3 linked regions of the Arabidopsis thaliana genome follow. The protein of the gene in region 2 interacts with the protein of the main gene of each other region in a pairwise test. Each region holds a gene or a part of one and is shown on either strand. Other genes may lie near its edges.

Evidence for each region. The genes of interacting proteins can lie anywhere in the genome.
Region 1: the proteins of MIF2 (region 2) and AT5G49420 interact in a two-hybrid assay, tested with the Arabidopsis thaliana proteins (one large-scale study listed by BioGRID).
Region 3: the proteins of MIF2 (region 2) and GTL1 interact in a two-hybrid assay, tested with the Arabidopsis thaliana proteins (one large-scale study listed by BioGRID).

The regions. Positions count from the first base shown.
Region 1 is NC_003076.8:20,034,165-20,038,276, reverse strand, and holds AT5G49420 (MADS-box transcription factor family protein), read left to right. Parts: upstream 1-2,071; 5' UTR 2,072-2,106; coding exon 2,107-3,111; 3' UTR 3,112-3,164; intron 3,165-3,361; 3' UTR 3,362-3,605; downstream 3,606-4,112. Other genes in the region: AT5G49430 (WD40/YVTN repeat and Bromo-WDR9-I-like domain-containing protein), read left to right, coding at 1-399, 607-665, 744-939.
Region 2 is NC_003074.8:10,922,642-10,926,404, forward strand, and holds MIF2 (mini zinc finger 2), read left to right. Parts: upstream 1-2,066; 5' UTR 2,067-2,372; coding exon 2,373-2,675; 3' UTR 2,676-3,172; downstream 3,173-3,763. UniProt on the Arabidopsis thaliana protein: Inhibits zinc finger homeodomain (ZHD) transcription factors by interacting with them to prevent both their nuclear localization and their DNA-binding properties.
Region 3 is NC_003070.9:12,050,870-12,056,552, forward strand, and holds GTL1 (GT-2-like 1), read right to left. Parts: upstream 3,885-5,683; 5' UTR 3,452-3,884; coding exon 3,162-3,451; intron 3,067-3,161; exon of another isoform or gene 2,965-3,066; coding exon of another isoform or gene 2,792-2,964; coding exon 1,330-2,791; coding exon of another isoform or gene 1,297-1,329; exon of another isoform or gene 1,248-1,296; coding exon 990-1,247; 3' UTR 508-989; downstream 1-507. UniProt on the Arabidopsis thaliana protein: Transcription repressor that binds specific DNA sequence such as GT3 box 5'-GGTAAA-3' in the SDD1 promoter. Negative regulator of water use efficiency (WUE) via the promotion of stomatal density and distribution by the transcription repression of SDD1.

The DNA.
Region 1 (4,112 bases), on a different chromosome or scaffold from region 2:
TCCGAAGTGTTCAACAAAGCTTTCAAACTTACGTTGCCTGAAGTGGTGACGTTTCCAGATTTTCTTGTGGAAAGAAGTCGGTATGAAGCAGCAATACAGAGGAACTGGACTTGCAGGGACAAGTGTAAAGTTTGGTGGAGAGACGAAGGCGAAGAAGATGGTAGTTGGTGGGAAGGACGGATTCTAGCTGTGAAACCCAAATCACCTGATTTTCCTGATAGTCCGTGGGAGAGGTACACAGTTAAGTACAAGAGTGACCCTGCCGAGACACATCTTCACAGTCCCTGGGAGCTTTTTGATGCAGATACCAAGTGGGAGCAGCCTCACATTGATGATGAGCAACGAAACCGTTTGCTCTCGGCCTTAACAAAGTTAGAGACTTCAGACAAGAGAACCCAGGTATGTGATCCTAATGAATATAATATCTCATGGTGTTAAATCTAGCCTATCCTCCCCACCAAATTCAGACTTCACCCAAAGAGCTTAGGCCCATGTTTACATTAGCTTAGTTGGTTTATAGATCACATTCTAAAGCTTAGTGGATTAAGACACAACATTATCCCAAGAACTAACAATATTGATATAATGTGGGCTAATTTGTTTCAGGATTCTTTTGGCCTCCGAAAACTGAACCAGACCGTGGGAAATTCCAGCTACTCCAACAGGTAAATTTCTACAACCCTGGAAGAGTCTTTGGTGGAGCCAAAGCTGACATGGTTTTGTTCTATGGATTCATTCTGCAGGTTCCCAGTTCCTTTGTCTCTTGAAGTAATCAGATCAAGGCTTGAGAACAACTATTACCGAAGTGTGGAAGCATTACGACACGACGTATCAGTTATGTTGTCCAATGCAGAGACTTTCTTTGGTCGAAATAAAAGTGTAGCAGCCAAAATCTCAAATCTCTCTAACTGGTTCGACCGGACGCTACCTTCTTCGTAGCTTATCATCGCGCCTATGTAGATAAACTGATGTTTTTTTTTCTCATGTTTCCAAATTATTTAGTTAGGTTTCCTGCAATTCTTTAAAAACTCTGGTTCTAATGGCAGAAGAGAATTTTAGGGGATTTTTTTTCCTTCAGTTAGAAAATTTTAGGTTTAGGGTTTAGTTGGAGATAATCTTTTTCTTTTTGAAATTGTATGTAAAGAGAAATTGGAGGAGAGGTCAAAAACGTTTGATGCTTTGGAATCATCTTCTGTTGACTGACCAACCCCAAATTTGAGAATCATTTCTTTTTCTGCTAATGGTACAACAACAGATGAAATTGTTGACATTACATGTGCAAATATCCAGTCTACAATAGATGATCAAGACAAAAACAGTATAATTGCAAATATTTTTGACAAAAAATTGATGAATACTAAGAAACAACGTTTTTATAGAAAGTCTGGACGATTTGGTTGCTCTAGACAGTGGTAGTAAACTGAGTGATAGATATTGCTAGGTGTTTTTGAAACACTGTCAAGGTTAAGCTCCAATGAAATCAGTCAGTGATTATATGTTGATGACCCTCTCTCAAGGTTTGTTCTATAGTCACCAATTACAATTGTTTCTTCTTGGTATTGATATTTTGAGTTTTGTGTGTTTAGGATAGCTGATAGGCTTTTTTGTTAGTTTTATTTGATGGACTATTGTTTTTCAGTAGGTCTTTAACAAAGTTTTCTTCTGCTACCAGGTCACCTTTGTCAACTCCATAGCCACATTTTAAGGAGTGAAGAACCAGAAAGAATGAACACGATAATGTGAAGAACCAGCTATATATTTGTTTGTCTCTCTCATAATAATCTGACAAAATTTTTTTTGTAGAATCTAGCAAAATAATATTTTTTGAAAAATAAAAATATCTCCAAATAAATCTGAATCATAATACAATAACTAAAAATTATCAAAATAAAAATAAATAAGACTGCACTAAAAAAGGATTCTGGTGGATAGTTGGGCTTAGCCCATACAAGATTACGGTCCATGTGGTTTAATCGGTTTAGGTGGATGATATTGATATGGGGTTTCGATATTTCCCTTATATATATGAGACTGAGAGATAGAAGAAGCCTTCACTTTTCAATTATCTTTCTCCACACTCAACAAAATTGAGAAAAATCAATCAGAATGGTGAAAAAAGGTGGCACGAAGAGGAAGATTGCGATTGAGACGATACAGAAGAGAGATTCCCTTAGGGTTACCTGCACCAAACGCCGTGAAGGTCTCTATAGCAAAGCCTCTCAGCTTTGTCTTCTCTCAGACGCACAGATCGCTATCTTAGCGACTCCTCCTTCTTCTGAATCCAACGTATCCTTCTACTCTTTCGGTCACTCCTCTGTTGATGCCGTTGTCTCTGCTTTTCTCTCCGGACAACGTCCTGTTCCGAAGGATAACAAAGAGACGAGGGAGGACGTTGGTATCTGTTTGACTCGCAATAATCTAGGGTTAGGTTTTTGGTGGAACGACGAGAGCCTTGCCAGATCGGAGAATCCTCAAGAGATTAGTGAAGCGATCGACTCTATGCGGACGCTGTTGAGGAATCTCAAGGAATTGCGTGCGGATGAAGCTTTAGCCTGTAATCAAGCTTTCGTTAATGATCGCGAGGACCTGAAGAACAACGACAAGTGCGATTTTGTTTCAGACCACGAAACTCATGATCAAACCCTAATTCTTCAGTCCGCTTCTCCAATTTGTTGCATCCCAGAAAATCTCAACGAGATTACTCAAGAGCCAAATCAAACCCTAAATATTCAGTCGAGTACTTCTGCAATTTGTTGCGTCCCTGATAATTCACCTGAAAATTTCAATGAGATCACTGAAGAACAAGATCAGATTCGCTCGATTTGTGAAACTTTTTGTGTTATGGATAACAACGCTGCTTTACCTGAAATGAACCTGGATTACGATCAAGACATTGGCTTCGACACGCCTTTTGAGAGCGCGCTAAATGATTGGTTTTCGGACAACACTACTCATCAGGAGATTAGTGCAAGTATTTTGAACGCTGTTGTTGATGATCAAGTCTCGGTGGATCTAACTCCGTTTTCTTATTTTCAGAGATGTTTGGATGGAGATAATCTACGATTCTCTGATTGTTTCAAAGACTTTGCAAACACTATTTCAGCACTTTGAAGATAATTTCTCTGCAGTTTTCAAACTAACTTCTAGTTACTTCTTTATTATATGTATGTATTGATTCTGCTAATTTTGGTTACAGATATGTTTTAGCAATGTAATGAATGAAAGGGTCTGGTTTGACCTCGATCAGTTTTCCATACATATATGTATGAGGGAAATTGATCGAAATCAAACTGGTTCTCTGCTTCATCAGTTTGGTTTAATGATAATATTTGTCTTCTGTTTCTATGTTTTGTATTTGTAGTTTCAAGTCCAAACTCATGCGATGAGAACATGACCAAGGCAACCAAACCACTTGAACCACAAAAAGACGAGAAGCAGCTTGTACCGGAGGAAGCATTAATCGTTCTGGCGGGTCCTCTAACAAGATCAAAATCTAAGAAGTTCAACCAAGCTATCAATGGACTACTCAAGGAGCTAAAGAAGAATCAAGAAGACGTGACTCAATCCTCCTTCATAGTGATCACGGCTCAAGAGGCTCGGTAAAGGGTTAAGTGTTGCTTATGCATTCTTTTTCCCTTATCAAGTTTTGTCCCAATGGGTTTTCTTGACAAGGTTTTTAATGAGGCCTAAGGAACACTTTCAAGCCTCCCTTTATCAGCTCAATTCGTGGTCCAAGGCCCACTCACAATGCCGTGGCCCATTTTCTATTTTCTCTTCAAACTTTGCATTTATTGTTTTTGTTATTTCCAAAACTCTTTGCATGAGTGTGTACTTGTGCATGCTCTTGCATGTCTTTCTTCTCTCACCTCTTCCCCTTCTTCCTCCTCTCCTATATAAACTCATTGTAGTTCTCATTTGTAATCATCAAACATTTTAATCAAAAACTTTCTCTTTCACTTGTTTGATCTGAAAAGTGTGTAGTATCTTTTCAACTTGTTTTCTTCTTAGTGTGTAATATCTAAGTTGGATCCAAGCTCGTAGTCTAAGAGTCTTTCATCACTCTTGGAAGTACAATTCGTTCCCCTTTCATTCCGCTGCATCCACTCGATCTC
Region 2 (3,763 bases):
GGGAGGGGTTAACAAACCAGACAAGACAAAAGGGAGAGTTCCTTACAAGTTTGGGAGTTCAGTTGCAAGGTTAAACAGTTTTCAAAAGTTTACAAGGTTTAAGGGGTTTAAGAGGTTCAAAGCGGGAGGGGAAGAGGTTACCAAGTGCAGGAGTCAGTGAAACCAGAGCCGGCTGCAGCAAAGGGGGAGCAGGGAGATGGATACTCCGGTGATTTTGATGAGGAGACAATGTCACACAGTTTTGAGAAGTACGCCTTCATCATCATAGATAGGTGAGCAAAAGGACGGAGATGAGACGCCGGAATAACGGGAGATGAGGGGGATGTCGGCGAGGGAGAAGTGGGAGTTTCCAAGAATAGCTAAAAAAAGTGGGTAAGATCCCGTTTTTTTGAAAACATTTGCTTCATTTAGTTACCTCGAAACTCGTGCCTGGGAGAGAAACTTTTTTTTTTTTTCAGCCGATGTTAATCTCATGAAACAACGTTTAGTGTGGAACAATGAAACTACAACAGTTTTTTTTTTTTTTTAAATATATATTATAAAGTACCAACAACGTTTGGTTATGCAATTATTGTTATATACCATCTCATGATTTATGTTTATATCTAATTTGGAAGGAGAAAATATCAATGTATTTCTTATAAAAATATCAAAGGATTGACGGAACACATGAATAAGAAAATTTGATGTCTAACCGAAAAACGAATGAATGTATGCATGTGTAATTCAAAAAAATCGATACGTAACTGCAAAGGAGCAAGCGATCGTGAAGGATTGCGTTGTCCTCATGATGTACAAAATAGGTTTGGTAGCCCAACTTATCAGTCCCACGTTGTTAGGTCCAAATGTATATACATTTATACACACTTCTATTTTTGTTCATGACTATTCATCATACAATCTTAAATATATTGATTGGTACTTAGATTACAACGAAAATTGATTTTTTTTATTTAAATCCGTACAATTCCTCGGGTATACTATAGAAGTGGGTCAAGATATCACATAGCCGACATAATCACTTTTTGGTCTATGCATATATATTCGATCTCGATACCAAGTTCGATTCTTTATGATACGTATAAATAATTTTCGTAACCACCTGTCTAATTATGAAATAAAATAGAATGAAAGAAGGAAATAAAAAGAGGATTAAAGAGGATGAATGTTAAAGGGGGCCACCACAGTACATATTAGGTCTTAAAAAGACAAGCTTAGCTGTTTCCTTCCTTTTAAAACCAATCACTTTGTTTGGTCTTAAAGAAAAGCTTTCTCATCATTTTAGGGTTTTCTCGCAAAATAAATCGAACAAAAGTTGCATCCACAAACTTCCACACATAATTTAATTTTTGTCGTAATATATTTACTGTTGCAGGTTGTAATTCTTCATCCACTTCATTTTATTCTATGGCTTATGGTTATGGTTACTAGTTAGCGCACAATATATATTTGTTGGAATGTAAGAGTACGTATTCTGCGAAAGTGGAATCTAGCAGAAGTTTGGAAGATCCAAATACAATGTATAAGGGTGATATTATCAACTAAAGACGGGTGCCTAACTCACAAAGTGGTGGCTCCATGTCTCGTGAATGTTTTGTTTTTGTATCTCTGGAGTTATGACATTTTGGTCCGTCCATTCGGATCAAAAATCAGAACGATGACAAATATAATCTCTTTCTTAACTGGAGATCAGTAGATTCCAATTTCGATTCAGCATAAACTTATTCAATTTCTTCTAACCGGATGAGACAAGTACTAGTACGCATTATTGCAATATTAAAGTGTCTTAGTATTCCAAAAACAAAAATTACGATACTTTAAACATAATCTGAATTTTGTATAACATGAGCCAAAAAGAAAACATCCACCATATTTAGGTTGGTAACAAGAAAACAAAACTTGTAATTATAATTCAATGCATAGTTGTGGTCATTTAATTACAAAAGACAGATATACATATATGATATACCCATCAAAAACAAAATTCTGGTAGATTAGCTTAGTAGGTCTGATTGGTTGTGATGATGCATCAATCTATACCATGACATGTACATCTACACACACACACATATATATATATATATATATATGCAGTTGCAAGAAAAATATCTAAGGTTTGGTTGTCGATTGCTATCAGAAATGCTATAAATATCACATCTAGGGTTAGGGTTAACAACCGAGGTCCTCTTGTAATTGTTTTGATCTTTCACTCCCTAACTATTTCGAGCCGTAGAAATTAAAGTAAAAGAACAAAAACTTTATTATACATTTTTCTCTTCCTCTTTAATATATATACATTATTACAAGTTTAGATTTCATAAAAAAAAGTCAAGAAGAAGAAAGAGCTGAGACGAGAATTGAAGTGAGAAAGCATGAGGAAGCGTCAGGTGGTGTTGAGGAGAGCCTCGCCAGAGGAACCTTCTAGAAGCTCGTCGACGGCTTCGTCTCTGACAGTGAGAACTGTGAGGTACGGAGAATGTCAGAAGAACCACGCTGCGGCGGTGGGAGGTTACGCTGTTGACGGCTGCCGTGAGTTCATGGCAAGCCGAGGAGAGGAAGGTACCGTGGCAGCGCTAACGTGCGCCGCCTGTGGCTGCCATCGCAGTTTCCATCGGAGAGAAATAGAAACCGAGGTTGTTTGCGACTGTAATTCACCTCCTTCTACTGGAAATTAGATAAGAAAAATCTAGAGCTAGCTATGAGTGTGTTTGTGTGTTACATATACAGATGATGAAACTGAAAATATTTTATTTGCTTTTTTTTCTTCTTTAATATGAAAGGCTTGTGTTTCTTTGTGAATTTAAGAAGAAACTATAAGAGATTTATAGATTGAAGGTGGTGGAAGCATTGAAAGATTTATAATAATTGGATGCTTTTGGGGTTTGAGAATGTTCAGAAAAGGTTAGGCTTCTGAAGTGAAATATTAAGATTATTGTTGTTTTTCATGTATTATATTGTTTGATTTGTATTCTGGTTGGGTCATGTTATTGTATTTTGATCTATTTTGATTATTTTGTCGAAGCTGACGAAGCATGTGTGGTGTACTCGTGTTTCAATTCAATGTCGTCCACTCAAGACAATTGTTAAGTGTATTGTGAAAGGAATTTGTTACAAAATCAATATGTGTATTTACTGATAAATGAATGAATGAGATTGATTGTTCCTTAACATATATGGAAGGTTCTTCGCTTGTGATAAGGTAGCTGAATATAGTAACCCATTTATTGATTATCTCAATAACTAATTTAATTAATTATATATATATATATATGTATATATTAGTATAAATAAATCACTAATGATTGTAGTAAATATTTTTTTTGGGAGGCGATGAAAAAAGGTTTAAATTGATCCCTTTGAGACCACTCCTATAGCTTTATTTTTAAAAAATATAAATGGTGGAGTTAAGTCTCACACTATTTTCCATGATTTATCTTAAAATATTTAGCTTTATGTGAAGTGCATAAAGCTCAGATTTATGTGAAGGGCATGTTAACTCGAGACCGATTAGATTATTTAAGCTCAGATTTCTTAATTATGCTATGATGAGAACCAATATTTTCAGGGATATATGCCTTCCCAGCTTTTAATTAAAAATAGTATATATTAAAATATTCTATAACCTTTTAGCTTTAAGAGAGATTTTTCAAATTTTATTTCAGAGGATAAAAGATAGGCAAATAAATTTGAATTTAATTGGGAGGCGGAGGCCCACAAATCTAATCCTTGTTGGTTGCTAACTTGCTATGATGGAGAAAAATTA
Region 3 (5,683 bases), on a different chromosome or scaffold from region 2:
ATTACTCTCTCTATCAAAAAGATACAGAATCTTTTCTTTTTCTTCTTCTTCTTTATTTTTTTTTGGTGTGATCATGCTGTCTCAATCCATCTTTCTATATTCTCAAACCATTATTTTTATTTTGTAAATTTACACGAGTAGTTTTTTACTTTTTGATACAGTTTTTTTGAAGGTAAAGAAAAAAGTTATAGAAAAAAAACAGAGAGATGAAAAATGAGTTAACATGAGAGTGGCACGAGTCTTGTCGTTGTAAGTACAAAAGCCTGCACATGCTTTTGATTGTAAGAAAAATAAAGTTTGAAACAAAAGAACAAAACTTTGAGCGACCCTGTTTAATTGATAGTGACACCAAAAATGAATAATGGCTTATCGGATTGTTTTTGTGGGCGCCGCAAAAAGGATTAAACATAAAAACACACAGATTCTCTCTTCTTCTTCTCCTCTCAATTACTTATGGCTTTGAGTCTCAGTCAAAAAAGCAAAGTGAATAAACCAATCTTTGTCATATATCAATTCAAATAGTAGTAATAATCAGTCATATATGTTTATCTTTGTCTGATAAACTAAATGATTCTAATTCTTACCTTAAAGGAAGAAAAAATAAAATAAAGACTCTTTATTCCCCAATTAACCAATCAACAAATGTTTTAAGAGAAAAAAAAAAAGTGTGAGACTTGCTGATGAAATTACAACTCCAAAATAATCTAAAAGACCTTTTAGCTAGAGTTTTTTGTTCATGTGGGGGTTGGAAGAAGAAAACAATGAACAAGAAGAAACAAACAAGAGACAGTGAGAAAGAAAAGAACAAAAGGGAAAGAATGTGAAAAAGAATTGTATTCACTGAAAAATCGAAGATCGATGAGACCTTGATATTTCAGTTTGTGGTGTCAGATGTGTGTGTGTGTGTGTTTGTGTTTTGTGTTTTTGGGTGTTTTGTTTAGAAAACTATGCACACATAAGTACATTTTCTTGAAACAATGATTCTGATTTTACTGAACCATTGTCAAGAAAGGTGGTTCCGTATGGCCATTGCCTCCTCTGTTTGCAGGGCTTTGAAACGCAATCTCGAAAGCCGCGGACTTCTCATCCTCGTCTAGTTCTTCCTCATCCATTTCCTGATCTTCCTCTTCCTCCATGTTATTATAATTGTGAGACTCTTCAATCTTTTCATACTCACCTATCATTGATTCTTGTTGTTGTAGTTGCTGTTGTTGTTGAATCAGCTCTCTCATCACAAGGTCTTCTGGCTTCAATTCCAACAAATCATATTTCAGTTATCAAAGAACATTAAACCAATCACATTTTGACAAGGAAAAGCAAAGTTTGTACCTTTTCTGTTCCTTGTGGACTTTCCTCTATAGGCTCTTCTTCCTCAGTTGAAGCTGACCCATGAGTTTGTTGAACATTAACAAGTCCTTCTTGTGGCGGTTTCATCGCAGTGACCGGACTCTGTTTTTGGTCTTGAGGTAGACCAGAAGTGCTAGAACCACCGCCACTACCGAGTACTTTGTTGCGGTAAAGAAGATCGAGGCGGTGAAAGTAAGGACAAGTCTTAGCATCTTGAGGACGTTTCTTGTTGCTTTCTTTAACTTTCTTGTAGTATTTGTTTATGTTTTCCCATTTCTCTTTACATCTCTTAGCGTTTCTGTTGTATCCCATTCTCTTCATTGAAGTTGAGATCTCTTCCCATAGAAGTCCTTTAGGTACATTATCTTGGTACCTTGGTTCCATTCCACTTCTCAGGTTTATAAGCGCTAGAATCTCTGCCTTTGGCCATCTTGATGATGATGGTAATGATGATTGTTCCGAGCTCATGACCATCTCTTGTTGTGGTTGTTGTTGTTGTTTCTGTTCTGGTTGATGAGCGTGAGGATGAGAAGGAGGAGGAGGAGGAAGAATTTGTTGTTGTGGAATCGCCATTATTGGTTGTTGTGATTGAGATTGAGCTGTTGATAATGGTGGTTCCGCCACACGTTTAGTGACCGCGGGTGGCGGTTGATACGGTGGAGGCGGTTGAGATGACAAAGAAGGAGGTAACTGAATGGTATGGCCAGTAATTTTCTGAATCAATGAAATGATTGCGGCGTCACGAGAAGCAGAGGCGGCTCGTTCTTGAGACATGACCTCGTGTTCTCGAGCTAACCGAGCCATTTCTTGACGTTTCCAAGCTTCTTCACGATCAAGACGTTCTTGCTCTCTCTTCTCAAGAGCTTCCAAGAAACTCCTTTGCATAGCCGCTTGCTTTTGCATTACTTGTCTCACCAAACCTTCAAACAATTCCATCATTTTACCGCCTCCACCGCGGTTTCCACGTTTGCGTTTTCGGCTACTAGAACCCGCAATGTTAGCCTGATCAACGTCCATATCGTCGTCATCATCATCAGACCCCATTCCTGAAGCCGTCGATGAGCTATGAGACGAGAAAGTAACACCGGTAAATATCGGACCCATTGAAGGAAGTGGAAGAGGTGGTGGAGTAGGAGTAAAAGAGACATTATGCGTTTGAGGCGGTTGCGTTTGCGTTTGCGGTTGCGGTTGAGAGAATACGGGAAATGGAGAAGAAGAAGAAGAAGGCATGAGAATGGGATTAGCGACGGAGAGAGGAGTAACGTCGAGGGAAGATGAAGGAGGAGTAGTGTTGAGAGCTTCAAGCTGAGAGAAGAACTTGTAAGCTTTACCATCATGACGACCACCGCGAGTTTCTTTAGTACGTTTGTAATATTTCTGAACGTTTTCGAATTTCTCTTTGCATTTCTTTGAACTTCGTTTGTAACCTAACTCCAATAGCTTCCTGTTTCCAAAAACATGAAAATAATTCAGATTCTCTAGTTTTATTTTATTTTTGGTTGTCGTTATTAGCTGGAAAATTTTTATGGTTACTGTTCGATCGGATTTTTTTTTTTTTTTTTTGGAAGTAAAGAGAGTCTTGGGATTTTCAAAATCGAAAACGTCCCAGAAACTCATGAACCAACTTCTGTAATAAACAAACAGTTCTTTTAATTTTTCTTGGGGATGGTGAAGATGCTTTGATCTCGAATATATTACTATTTATATATACCTAACACTAAAAAAAAAAAGTTAACAAAAAAAAAACACATGCAAATGGATCTCTATCAAGAAACACCATTGATGAAAATGGAAGAGAAGAGAGGAAGAGAGACCTGGAAACATGTTCCCAAAGAGGAGCTTTGAGAGTAGCATCACGAAAAGTAGAATCCATATCGGATCGGATCCGAAGAAGAGCTAAAGTTTCTTCTCTCGGCCATCGATTTCCCGATGAAGAAGAAGCACTTCCTCCTCCTCCTCCTCCACCTCCACCTCCTAATCCACCGTCATCCGCGGCGGCTGAGAATCTCATAAGCTCTTCTAAGTTGTTAGCAGGAGGTCTTGAACTAATAGGTGAAGCTTCCTCCACAACTTCATTACCACCACCACCTCCTCCTTGCTCCATCAATCTTGATGATGTTTCAATCTTTTTCTACACACACACTCTCTCTTTCTCTCTAGCTCCTCAATGTTTTTTGATATAAATCTCATAAAACCATTGATGATGATGATGAGAGAAATAAGAAAGAGAAGCAGTCTTTTTTTGTTTGTTTAAACAGCAACTAGGAGGGGTCTGAAGGAGAAAGGAGAGGATTACGAGGATGATGATGATAGATAGAGAGAAAGAGAATGAAAGCAAACAAGAAGTTAATAAAGCTGAAGCCTCTTCTAACTTTGCAGCAAATTATTGTTAAACCCACTTTTCTTCACTCTCTCTTTTTCTTTATTTATTTTATTTTCTTCCTTCTTTTATATTATTTAGAAAAAAAGGTCCACATCTATTTAATTAAATCCAATTTTATGTGTATTATTATTATTGTTATAAAGCAAAGAGTAAGGAAGGCTTTAAAAGTTAAATTTGGATCCGCAAACATCTCATTGCTCAGTGATCCGATTAAATTGTTTTTGGGTAAAAATTGTGTTTTGGAGAAATATAATAAACACAAAATCATGTGCCTCCCATGTTGTTGTCCTCTCCCACCATCATGTCTAAGGTGTCCACGTGGCGTTGTCTGATTGGTAGGGTATGTGACAATCAGATTTTTGGGGAAAGGGAGGGACAGAATTGGAATTTGATAATAGTTTTTACCCGATTTGAGCTGGACCAGCCTTGACATCTTTCCCCCCACTCTCTTTCCTCTCCAATTCAACAGTTTCTTTCTCTCTTTTTTTTTGTTATTGTGTAAATAATACATTTATAGAAACATATCAAACAATAGTGTTTTAGTGATGTCAAGAAAAGAAAAAAATAGTAAGTCCAAAGCCAGTGAAATTATTTTATGAATCATACATAGTGCATAATTAATTAACATAACCATGTAATTTTAAACTCGGAACTATCTTGGCAGGTCGGATCGATAACCTGACCCATGCATTAGTTTATGCGAAGCCAAAGCCAAACCCACTCACTACCAACACTATAACAGATTTCGTTTATGTCATTTTAAACATACTTTTTACTGAATTTGCAGCGAATTTAGCATACATGAATTGATATGATGGCTTGGTCACGATAACAAAGTTGCTAGACTCATTTGGACGCTACAATTTTACAAGTGATTCTTGTATGTTGGCATAATTTGGAATCAAGAACATGCATGGTCTGCAAAATCCCATAAATAAACAAACGTGACGTCAAGTGATCTTTGATATGTTCTTTGAATTTATTTTTTTCTCCAAAAAATAAGACATTCGTTTAGTTAAATGTTGATAGCTTGACATCGCTTTTTTTTTTAGTAACTCGTTTGGTTTTTAATTAAAAATGAAACTGTTAATTTCCTTTGCACATATATATGTGAATCAAAACAAAAGTCAAGATGATGATTTTATGTATTGGTGGTAACCAGAATTTTCGACAAAAGTACAAGATAACAAACTAATAAAGAAACCTTATAACAATTAGGTGAAAAATAATGAAAATAAGTACATTTTTTGAGATAGTAAAGCTGTGGTGAAGATAGACATAAGTGATCAATCAAAAATTGAATAGCCTCATATCTAAAATTAGTTGCAAACTCAAGACATCGATGCAGACACTCATACTATCACATTATACAACTCTTTAATACCTCTCACCTACACAAACATACACAAAATAAAAAAAAAACTCATTTTCATTACCAAATCACACTCTACACAAAAACACACCGCTCATTTCTAGTTATACACAAAAAAGGAAAACAAACTATTTCCTTCTAACAACAAAATGAAAGATGCTAATTAATAATAATGGTTAGAGAAGAAGGTGAAGAAGAAGAAGAAGGTGGGCGGTGGAAGTGGAGAACTTTCTTGAAGGGGAAAGAAAGAGAGAGAGCGGCGGATACACAGCTGTCTTCTCTTCTTCTTCCCCCCACTTTCACATGCCTCTCCTTTTTCACTATATTTATTACTTATTACATGTGATATGTTCTTTTTTTTCCTAATTATACAACTTTAATATTAGTACAAGTATAATAAGAATATAATTATACGAGGTGGTAAGAACATGCTCACGGAGTTTCCTTCCTTGATTTCTGACTGAATGAATCTCTCTTTTTACATAAGAGATCTAGATCTCATGAGGGAGTTTTGATTAAGACTTTGATTAACACACTAATCTTAAACACACAAAAGCAACGTCTCTCTCTACCAATAAATC